Daphnia pulex: one gene and its partner. The protein of the gene in region 1 interacts with the protein of each later gene in a pairwise test. Links are inferred from orthologs where the notes say so. Each region holds a gene or a part of one and is shown in the gene's direction. Other genes may lie near its edges.

What was found.
Region 2: the proteins of histone acetyltransferase Tip60-like (region 1) and RING finger and CHY zinc finger domain-containing protein 1-like interact in a two-hybrid assay, tested with the Homo sapiens proteins (2 studies listed by BioGRID). The link is inferred for Daphnia pulex from reciprocal best matches to the Homo sapiens genes KAT5 and RCHY1.

The regions. Positions count from the first base shown.
Region 1 is NC_060018.1:12,586,047-12,590,465, forward strand, and holds histone acetyltransferase Tip60-like, read left to right. Parts: upstream 1-1,361; 5' UTR 1,362-1,412; coding exon 1,413-1,484; intron 1,485-1,546; coding exon 1,547-1,604; intron 1,605-1,678; coding exon 1,679-1,747; exon of another isoform or gene 1,748-1,811; coding exon 1,812-2,120; exon of another isoform or gene 2,121-2,187; coding exon 2,188-2,262; exon of another isoform or gene 2,263-2,334; coding exon 2,335-2,531; exon of another isoform or gene 2,532-2,593; coding exon 2,594-2,677; exon of another isoform or gene 2,678-2,739; coding exon 2,740-3,064; exon of another isoform or gene 3,065-3,128; coding exon 3,129-3,291; exon of another isoform or gene 3,292-3,358; coding exon 3,359-3,575; 3' UTR 3,576-3,662; downstream 3,663-4,419. Other genes in the region: threonine aspartase 1-like, read right to left, coding at 1-313, 374-472, 535-718, 784-1,067, 1,127-1,228; serine/threonine-protein phosphatase 2A regulatory subunit B'' subunit gamma-like, read right to left, coding at 3,671-3,788, 3,855-3,982, 4,047-4,260, 4,325-4,419. UniProt on the Homo sapiens protein: Catalytic subunit of the NuA4 histone acetyltransferase complex, a multiprotein complex involved in transcriptional activation of select genes principally by acetylation of nucleosomal histones H2A and H4.
Region 2 is NC_060018.1:4,447,205-4,451,496, forward strand, and holds RING finger and CHY zinc finger domain-containing protein 1-like, read left to right. Parts: upstream 1-1,484; 5' UTR 1,485-1,586; coding exon 1,587-1,646; intron 1,647-1,853; coding exon 1,854-2,015; intron 2,016-2,083; coding exon 2,084-2,150; intron 2,151-2,222; coding exon 2,223-2,311; intron 2,312-2,396; coding exon 2,397-2,579; intron 2,580-2,639; coding exon 2,640-2,735; intron 2,736-2,799; coding exon 2,800-2,899; intron 2,900-2,967; coding exon 2,968-2,999; 3' UTR 3,000-3,590; downstream 3,591-4,292. Other genes in the region: protein KRI1 homolog, read left to right, coding at 1-217; transcription factor TFIIIB component B'' homolog, read right to left, coding at 3,711-4,292. UniProt on the Homo sapiens protein: E3 ubiquitin-protein ligase that mediates ubiquitination of target proteins, including p53/TP53, TP73, HDAC1 and CDKN1B. Mediates ubiquitination and degradation of p53/TP53; preferentially acts on tetrameric p53/TP53.

The DNA.
Region 1 (4,419 bases):
TGCTCATGAAACCGACGACCATCGAATCAGTTGTGAAGGCCATGTTGAAATCTATCGAATCTTCGCTATAATACGCCACTAGAACACCACCCATCCGGTCATAGACGTCATCAGACAGCATTTCTGAATGGATGAACTCGTCACACATGAGCTCTTTCAAGTGGAAAGCCGGATCTCCTCGCTCTAATATGGTTTGACCAAGCTTCTTGGCCAAGGTTGTTTGGATGAGTTGCTCGCCACAACCAGAAGTTGACACAGCAACACCACCGGAGCTGGAATGCTGCGCCCAACAACCACAGCCGTAAACTGGCACCTATCGCAATATACACATTGTAAATGACTACTAAAATGACAAGAAGGAATAAAGGAAAACCTGTCCAACTCGGCCGGGAAGCTTCATAGCAATTCCTCCCGAACTCGATGCACTTGCAATGTCACCATTCGTATCTATGCAAATTACTCCTACTGTATCCTAGATTTAAAAAATAACCATGATATTTGGATAACATTACTTTAGGAAACCAAATATATTACTTGACTTGGGTTTGGCTGCACTGTGATCTTTAGCCCACTTGATAAAGCTTTTCTGGATACTTCCAGCCGTTCTTTATATTTCTTATACTTTCTCATGGCTTTGTCAGATATAAGAGTGCTATTGTGAACAAGATTCAAACCTCGGTTTTTAGCAAAATCAGACGCTCCTTCTCCTACTAGAACACTAAAAAAAAGGCTGTGTTAATTTAACCACTCATTTTAAGTGATGCAAATGGTATTTTGAATTACAGTGGAGGTGTTCTACCAAGAAGTCTTGGTTCATTCTGGTATAAAATGATTTCTTTGGCTACCATTATAGGATTTTTAATACTTTTAAGTGATGAGACTGCTCCAAATCGTGTGTTTCTTTGATGTTTCAAAGACAACATGATTCCTGCATCACATTCAACTTCACCGCTCTCAGTGAGATTGGAGCCATATCCTGCATTAGTTAGTGGTGAATCTTCTAATATGCAAACCAATTCACACGTAACATCTAGTGCAGATTTTCCTTCTTGCAATAAAGCTGCTCCCTGGGAAAAACTTATCAAGTCAAACTATGAAACCATGAATCACTAATAGAAAGCCATGCCTTTTCACACGTTATTTTGCAAAGTTTTTTGTAAATAGCTTCAGATTTTGAACTATGGCAGCCTGCTCCAAGATGAATAGCAACAAATCCATACTGTGACATTTTTGCACTTTTATGGTTTAAATTTTGTCGAGAATTTTCATAACCGAAATTTCATTTTACAATTTGAAATGGGACTGATCGGTCCAGTTTGTGAGAGAGCTAGCAGAAGACTACCATTTCCAACCGGCAAAAGCGGCAATGTCGCTCATGGCCGCGCACTGTTGTTTTGAAAGCTTTTTCTCTAATGAAGACCGAACAGTCATTGTCAAAAATGAAAGAAGAGATTGTAGATAAAGATCTGTTTTCAGATTCAACTGTATGAATTTTTACATTATTTCATTAGAAACCATGTTTAATTTTGTTTATTCTATTATCTAGGCATCTGTTGTTGAAGGCTGTCGGTTGCCTGTACGGATGAGAAACACCGAAGACTGGCGTAACATTTGTTGCTTTGTTATCATTTTATAGATTTGAAAGTTTAATTGTGGTTTTTCTTTTGTTATCATTTAGCTCTAGCCGAAGTACTCAGTGTCAAAGATATCTGCAACATCAGGATGTTTTATGTCCATTACATCGACTGTAAGTTTTGTATATGCTATGTTTAACGATACATCATCTTACAAAATTTTTAATTCAACTCTAGTCAACAAACGACTTGATGATTGGGTCTCAGAAGATTTCTTAGATACGAGAAAAATTCAGTTTCCTAGAAAAGATGGAACTCAAGTAGGCACAGGCATGAGTACTCCTAAAAAAGTTGGAGGAACAACTGGTTCTTCCCGTCCTTCTTCCCCACTAGCTGCATCCAGTGCATCAGACCTTACTGTCAATGGGTCTGCTCTACTGGCTGCAGCAATACAAAAGAGAAATGGAAGAAAACGTAAAATTGGAGAAAAAGAAGAGCCCAGTCCAGGATCCATTATTCCAATCCCACCTGCCAAGAAACTTATAAGTAAAGTTATTTTATTTCATTAATTCTTTACATTTTTCATAAATTCTTTTAAATTTTATTTTTATAGAAATTGAAAAAGAATTACCAGCAATCCCCACTCTGCCACCCACCGTAGTTAGCGATAGTTGTGCTGTTCCTACAAGTAATTAGTCATTTTTTCTACAATCTATTTATTATATATAAATGATTATTAAAACTAAAATTTTCTGCATAGGTGATTCAGTTTGTGAGGTAGGAGATGCTAACTCTCCGGCCCCACCGTCCACCCCTGCACCGACTACACCAGGGCCACGTCAGTCGGGCAGTCTTGTTACACATCACGATGACGTTGTAACACGAATGAAAAATATTCAAATGATTGAACTCGGCAGACACAGAATAAAACCTTGGTATTTCGCACCCTACCCTCAGGTATGTCATCATCTAACGAACGTAAAGATCCGAAATGTTTACTATTCTTTTTCAAAAATTAGGAAATGGTTCACCAAGCTTGTATTTACATATGCGAGTTTTGTCTCAAGTACCGGAAAAGTGAAAAATGTCTAGAACGTCATCTGGTAATTTAAAATTTTACGATATATTTTTAATTGGATGATCAACCCTTAAACTTTTTCTACAGATGAAGTGCAATCTTAGACATCCGCCAGGCAATGAAGTTTACCGCAAACAGACAATTTCTTTTTTTGAAATCGACGGCCGTAAAAATAAAGCATACGCTCAGAACCTATGCCTGCTAGCGAAACTGTTCCTTGATCACAAGACACTGTATTACGACACTGATCCGTTCCTCTTTTACGTCATGACTGAAGTGGATGCACGAGGTTTTCATATCGTCGGCTACTTTAGCAAAGAGAAAGAAAGCTCGGAGGACTACAATGTCGCCTGCATCTTAACATTACCACCCTATCAACGGAAAGGATATGGAAAACTTCTTATTGAATTCAGTGCGTACAGAATCGTAAACCCAAGGGGAAATATTTTTTTAAAACCATTTTTGTTTACGTAAAGGTTACGAGCTGTCCAAGTTCGAAGGCAAAACGGGCTCGCCAGAAAAACCTCTGTCCGATTTAGGGTTGCTGTCTTATCGCAGTTACTGGGCTTTTACAATCTGTGATATTCTGATGAATATGAAACCATCCAGTGAAGGTGAACGTCCTCAAATTACCATCAAGTAAGTGATGTAAATTACTTCATTCTAGAGCTCACGTTGACAAACGAATTCGTTTTAATTTAAATAGCGAAATTTGCGAAATGACGAGCATTAAAAAAGAGGACGTGGTGTCCACCTTACAGCATTTGAACCTCATCAATTACTACAAGGGGCAGTACGTACTCATTCTGAACGAAGAAGCGATGAAAAATTGCATAAAAAACAAAGAGAAATGGAAATTACACATCGATCCCAAATGCTTGCACTGGACACCGAAAGACTGGTCCAAAAGAGGGAAATGGTGATGAGATCGCACCTACAATCCATTCCGCGATCTTGCTACTTCTTTGCTTTTTTTTAAAAAATACACTCACAATTTCTATGTACAAGAATTCCAAATTCAAATGTCCTGTTTCTCTTGGTTATTCTTGTCTGTTACGACAACAGCTTCACGGTTCTCGTATGTCCAAAATCCATCCAAATCAATCAAGATATTGATCACAGTTTCACCGTATCCACTGAGCCAGAAAACGTTCAATGACAATCTTATTCTAAAAAAATTCTAAATGAACTTTGTGTGTTACCAGTTAATCAAATCATGTAAAGTGATTTTTGACGGATCGGCAGGACGCACCATATCGAAAATCTCATCATTGACGTCGTCAAAAGCAACGACTTCTTGTTTGTGCTGCTGCATCAACTCTTGAACCCCCTGCAAAGCATTTTTTTTTTTTTCAAGATAAGAAAGTCAAAAGGTCAAATGAGGAAATTAATACTTTGAAGTAAAAATGGAGGTCAAAAGTGTTGAGATGGTTTCGATGATTGACGTCCAACAAACGGAAAAAATACTGAAGTGCTTGTGGTTCCTTTTTATTGTCCATGGCCAATACGAAATCCAAGTACGTTTTATAATCCATTTCTTTCTCATAGGTCATGCACTCCTCGAATACTCGTTGAATGAAAACTCGCGTCAACGTGCCAGTTCCGAATCTGAAAATTAAATTTAAAAAAAATCTTAAATGTACGTACTGCAAATTGAAATATGGTAAATTACCGTCTGAGCTCTTCCTGACAAAGCATGCCGTTTCTGTTGGTATCTAAATTTAAGTATTGACCGTAGACTCTCAGAGCGGAGGGCGCAGAAAACCA
Region 2 (4,292 bases), about 8.1 Mb from region 1:
TCAGAAGGCCGGATCGTCTTCTGTTAATGAAGGAAAGAAACAGAAGAAAAAGAAGAAGAAAAACAAAAACGCAACTGAAACAACAGCTAATAAGAAATCGGCCACCATTCGTGGTTTTGACATAACTGACGATCGCCTCAAAGCGTACGGCATCCGAAACCCCAAGAAATTCAAGAATGCCATTATATTCGGAAATTTGAAAAAATCAAAAGACTAACGGGGTTGGGACTTGGGAGTCAGATTTTGTCAGTAATTGTATTTGGTTTGATTGAGTGGATATTTCGAACGTTCTATCAATAAAAAGACTCGTGTTCCAATTCTTTGAAAGTTGCGGGTTCAAATAAAAATGTCTTCCAAAGAAAGAAAATGAGAGTATAAATTGATCGATAATGACGCTGCGCTCCTCATCTGATAACCTACAGCCAACGGTCTGTAACACGTGGGTCACTTATCTTTCTCGTCGAATAAAAAAACGCACATGAATTGAAATTGAAGGCCTTCTAAACAAATTTACCCAACAAAATCTTAAAAATTTGCAATGCTACTATAATCTCCATGCGAGAGAAGGAAAAGGGGATGACAAGGTCGACATTAAAAAAAGTTTTCGTGAATAAGTAAAAAATCTTCAATTGTCGCAGCTATTTATGTGCAACAGGTCACATTGGCTTACAATCTTTCGTACATTTCATAGAAAATTAAATTACCAGAGTATGCACAACCTCGCAAAAAAAGTCGTTTAAGTGTTTTTTCCTACCTTCGTAATGGTCACACGTGGGATTTGATGTTATCATGTTGAGGGTCGGCGGTTTGGTCGATTATGGTGTTTTGTCCCCAATTGTTCGGCAATGTTCTTTTCAACTGCTTACGAGATCGATGATTCACAATTCACAATCACAGGAAATGATTATGGCAATAATTATTCAGTCAGAGTTCACAGTCGCGCTATACACACTTTCAAATTCTACTGCCAAATTGTTGAGCATCCGACCTCGTGGGCCGCACGAGAACAACTAAGTTTTTCAAGGACCTTGCTGCCCTTTCAATAGGTAGGGTCATTTGCATATTTTTCTCAATTTGAACGTAAAAAAAAATTTCTTCGATTTTCTCCTTTCCTCCTTTTCTCCTACCTTACCCCGGTCCCCGGCCTTAAGTCCATTAATATTTCAAAACATGCACTCCGATAGACTGTATAAAACAGTATGGCAACATTCGAGTGTTTTGATTTTGAAGAACCGCTTTTAGAAAGGACAAGGAAGGGAGCTAGCGACATCTCGTCACAACAAATTTAAGTTCGTGATTAACCAATTAAAGATTAGAGATGAGAAAATTGGATGAAAATTAACTTGCTGGTTACTCTGGATTCCATTGGGAAATTAGTTTTTAAATAAATTGCTGCACAAACAAGACAAACGTGGGAAGTTAGGAATTTTCGGAAAGAAGTCGACCCAACATAGTTCATGTTCATGCCGCTAGGCTAAGCCCAAACCTACACGCTGTACACTAACTGGCCGAAACTCGTGTTTTCTTTTACACTGTGTACACACACTGCCAGATACTGACTCGTTGGAATAGGTGGAGGAGATAAAATGGCTGAGGAGAATGTCGAATACGGTTGCGAACATTATAAACGAAAATGCAAATTAGTGGTAAGTAGTTCGACACTTTGTTCTTAACCAAGTAATGTTGTAACTCAAGTTGGTCGGGAAATAACTGTGGGCACAATGTCTGAAAAATGACCATGATATCTCCTCGTGAAGATAATGCGGTTTTATAGTAATCCTGTTTAAAGTTGTATTGAGAAGTTAAATACTTAATTATTTATTATTTTACTAAACAATAATTTTGTTTTGTAGACACCATGCTGTGACAAAGTTTATACTTGCCGTTTTTGTCATGATGAGAAGGAGGAACACACCCTTAACCGAAAAAATGTGGATGAAATTATGTGTTCATTGTGTGAAACAAAACAACCAGTTCAACAAAACTGTTCCAATTGTGGTATCCTCTTTGGACAGGTAAAGTATCAGACTTTTTTCTTTTCTTTTTTTTTTCAAAATAAAGAAACCTTGATTTTGTTTTGCAGTATTTTTGTGGAAAGTGCAAGTTGATTGATGATGAAGATAAAAAGCAGTATCACTGTGAAGGATGTGGTAATTATTATTACATTTTAAAACCAATTATATTTAATCTTTGGTGACAACTCCTATATCTTACTTTTTCAGGAATATGTAGAGTCGGAGGAAGGGACAAGTTTTTCCACTGCCAAACATGTGATATGTGCTTACCAAAAAAACTTGAAAATCAGCATAGAGTAAGCATTTTTGTGGGATTCTAATTTATACATAAATTATTTTGGTTTTTAGTTCATTCAATTAGTTATTTTTGCTCTGTTACAGTGCGTTGAAAAGATGAGCCGAACAAATTGCCCAATTTGTTTGGAGGATATTCATACATCAAGAATTCCTTCACACATCCCATCATGTGGTCATCTGATTCACCGAACATGTTTCAATTCATTTATTCATCGTGGTCACTATGCCTGCCCAGTTTGTCAACGTTCAATGATGCCGATGGAATCGGTACTAAAATTTAAATTTATAAAACGAATTATAACGTTACCAATTGTGTTTCCATTCTAGTACTGGCGCATTTTAGACGATGAAATTGCCTCAACCCCAATGCCAGTGGAATATCAAAATTTTTTTGTCACGATTTTATGTAACGACTGCCATCAGGTTAGTCATTTCTCGGCACTAAAGAGTTTTTAAAATGTTATTATAATTAACAATTTTTTTGCAGTTTTCTGAAGTTCCAATGCATCCCCTTGGAGCGAAGTGCCAAAATGCACCATGTGGATCGTACAATACGTGCAGAAGCGGTGGTCCTGTTAATAGACCTGGTAATTATAATTTTATTAATCTAGAGGAACTGCGTACCACAAATCAACTTTTTCTCTTTTTTTTTAAGCAGTCAGAGAACAATCTCCTAACTCGGAATAAATGGCCATGATTATCAAGGGAATAGGATGTTGTTTGTCATTTACTTGGACGGCGGTTTTATTCTGTTGACATGCAATAATTTTATTGGCCATCTACTAAATGGTCGAGTTTGTATTTTAAAGGCTTTTAAATTTTCATCCGTGAATCTTCCACCTTATTCGGCGGTAGGCATCTGGAGCCTGTTCGTGAAATTGGATCGAAAGGTTTTGTGAATTTTTTTCTTATCGTTCAAGTTACTCGTACCCCGTCAGCCATCCTGCTGATGTTTGATACCTGTTTTGTTGCCCTTACCTCGTTGCAGTGGCTAAATTGCCGTCATATTGTAATGCACCGTAGTGAGTAAAAAAAAACATCAGACAAAAACAATGGGTAACATTTAGAAATGACTCCTCGAGTAGTTTGAAAATGGACACTGCCAGAAAAGTTCATATCCGAAATTATGAAGATTCTTCTGTGCAGCTTGTGAGTTTCTTGTAATTTTACATGTCATATTATTACAATTGATTAAGCACTTCTCTTCAATTCTATGTGGAATGTACCTTCTGAACATTTTCAAATAACAATTCTGTATAAATATACGTTGTTACCTTATTCACTGGCCTTAAGCAGTAATTAGATCGTTATTTAATTCTGGATGGCAACAACATACACACGCACACACAAAAAAAAAATTAACAGTGAAGGATTGGGCAAAATGCGTAGGGGATCTTATTAGGAGACCGGTTCAAACGGTTCGGCTATACGGTATACATGTACCAATTGATTATTAGGATCTCCGGGATTGGGTTCTGCCACCAACACTAAACTACCGGGTTCAGCTTGAGCAAACGCGGGATTGGCTTCTGCAAGAGCTGGAGGGACTAGAAAAGATGGAGCCTGGTTAGGAGTTCCAGGAACTTCAACGACGGTTAACCCACCTTGTTCTAAACCAATTTGTCCAAGGGGAGAATTCAGCAAACTGTCGAGTGGAATATTTGAATTTGGAGCAGTAGGGTTAGCATCCTTCGAACAATTTGCTGGTTCCAAAGCATCATTCTCAGTTGGGTTTGCTGGTTGTTCGTCGTCATAATCAAGAGGCTTTACATTCTTTCGTCGCGTTATTTTACCAGATCGGGATCCAATAGCCGTCTTTCGAGCTCTTGTAGACACTCGAGATTCAGTGGCTTTCCCCTTCCGGCCTTTTTTCGCAGGGGGTGCTATCTCTTCTCCAGATTCTTCGTTTGTTGTTTTCTTATCCGACCTGATAGATTCAATTGAAACTACATCCGAATCAGACTCATTCGGATTTGGTTC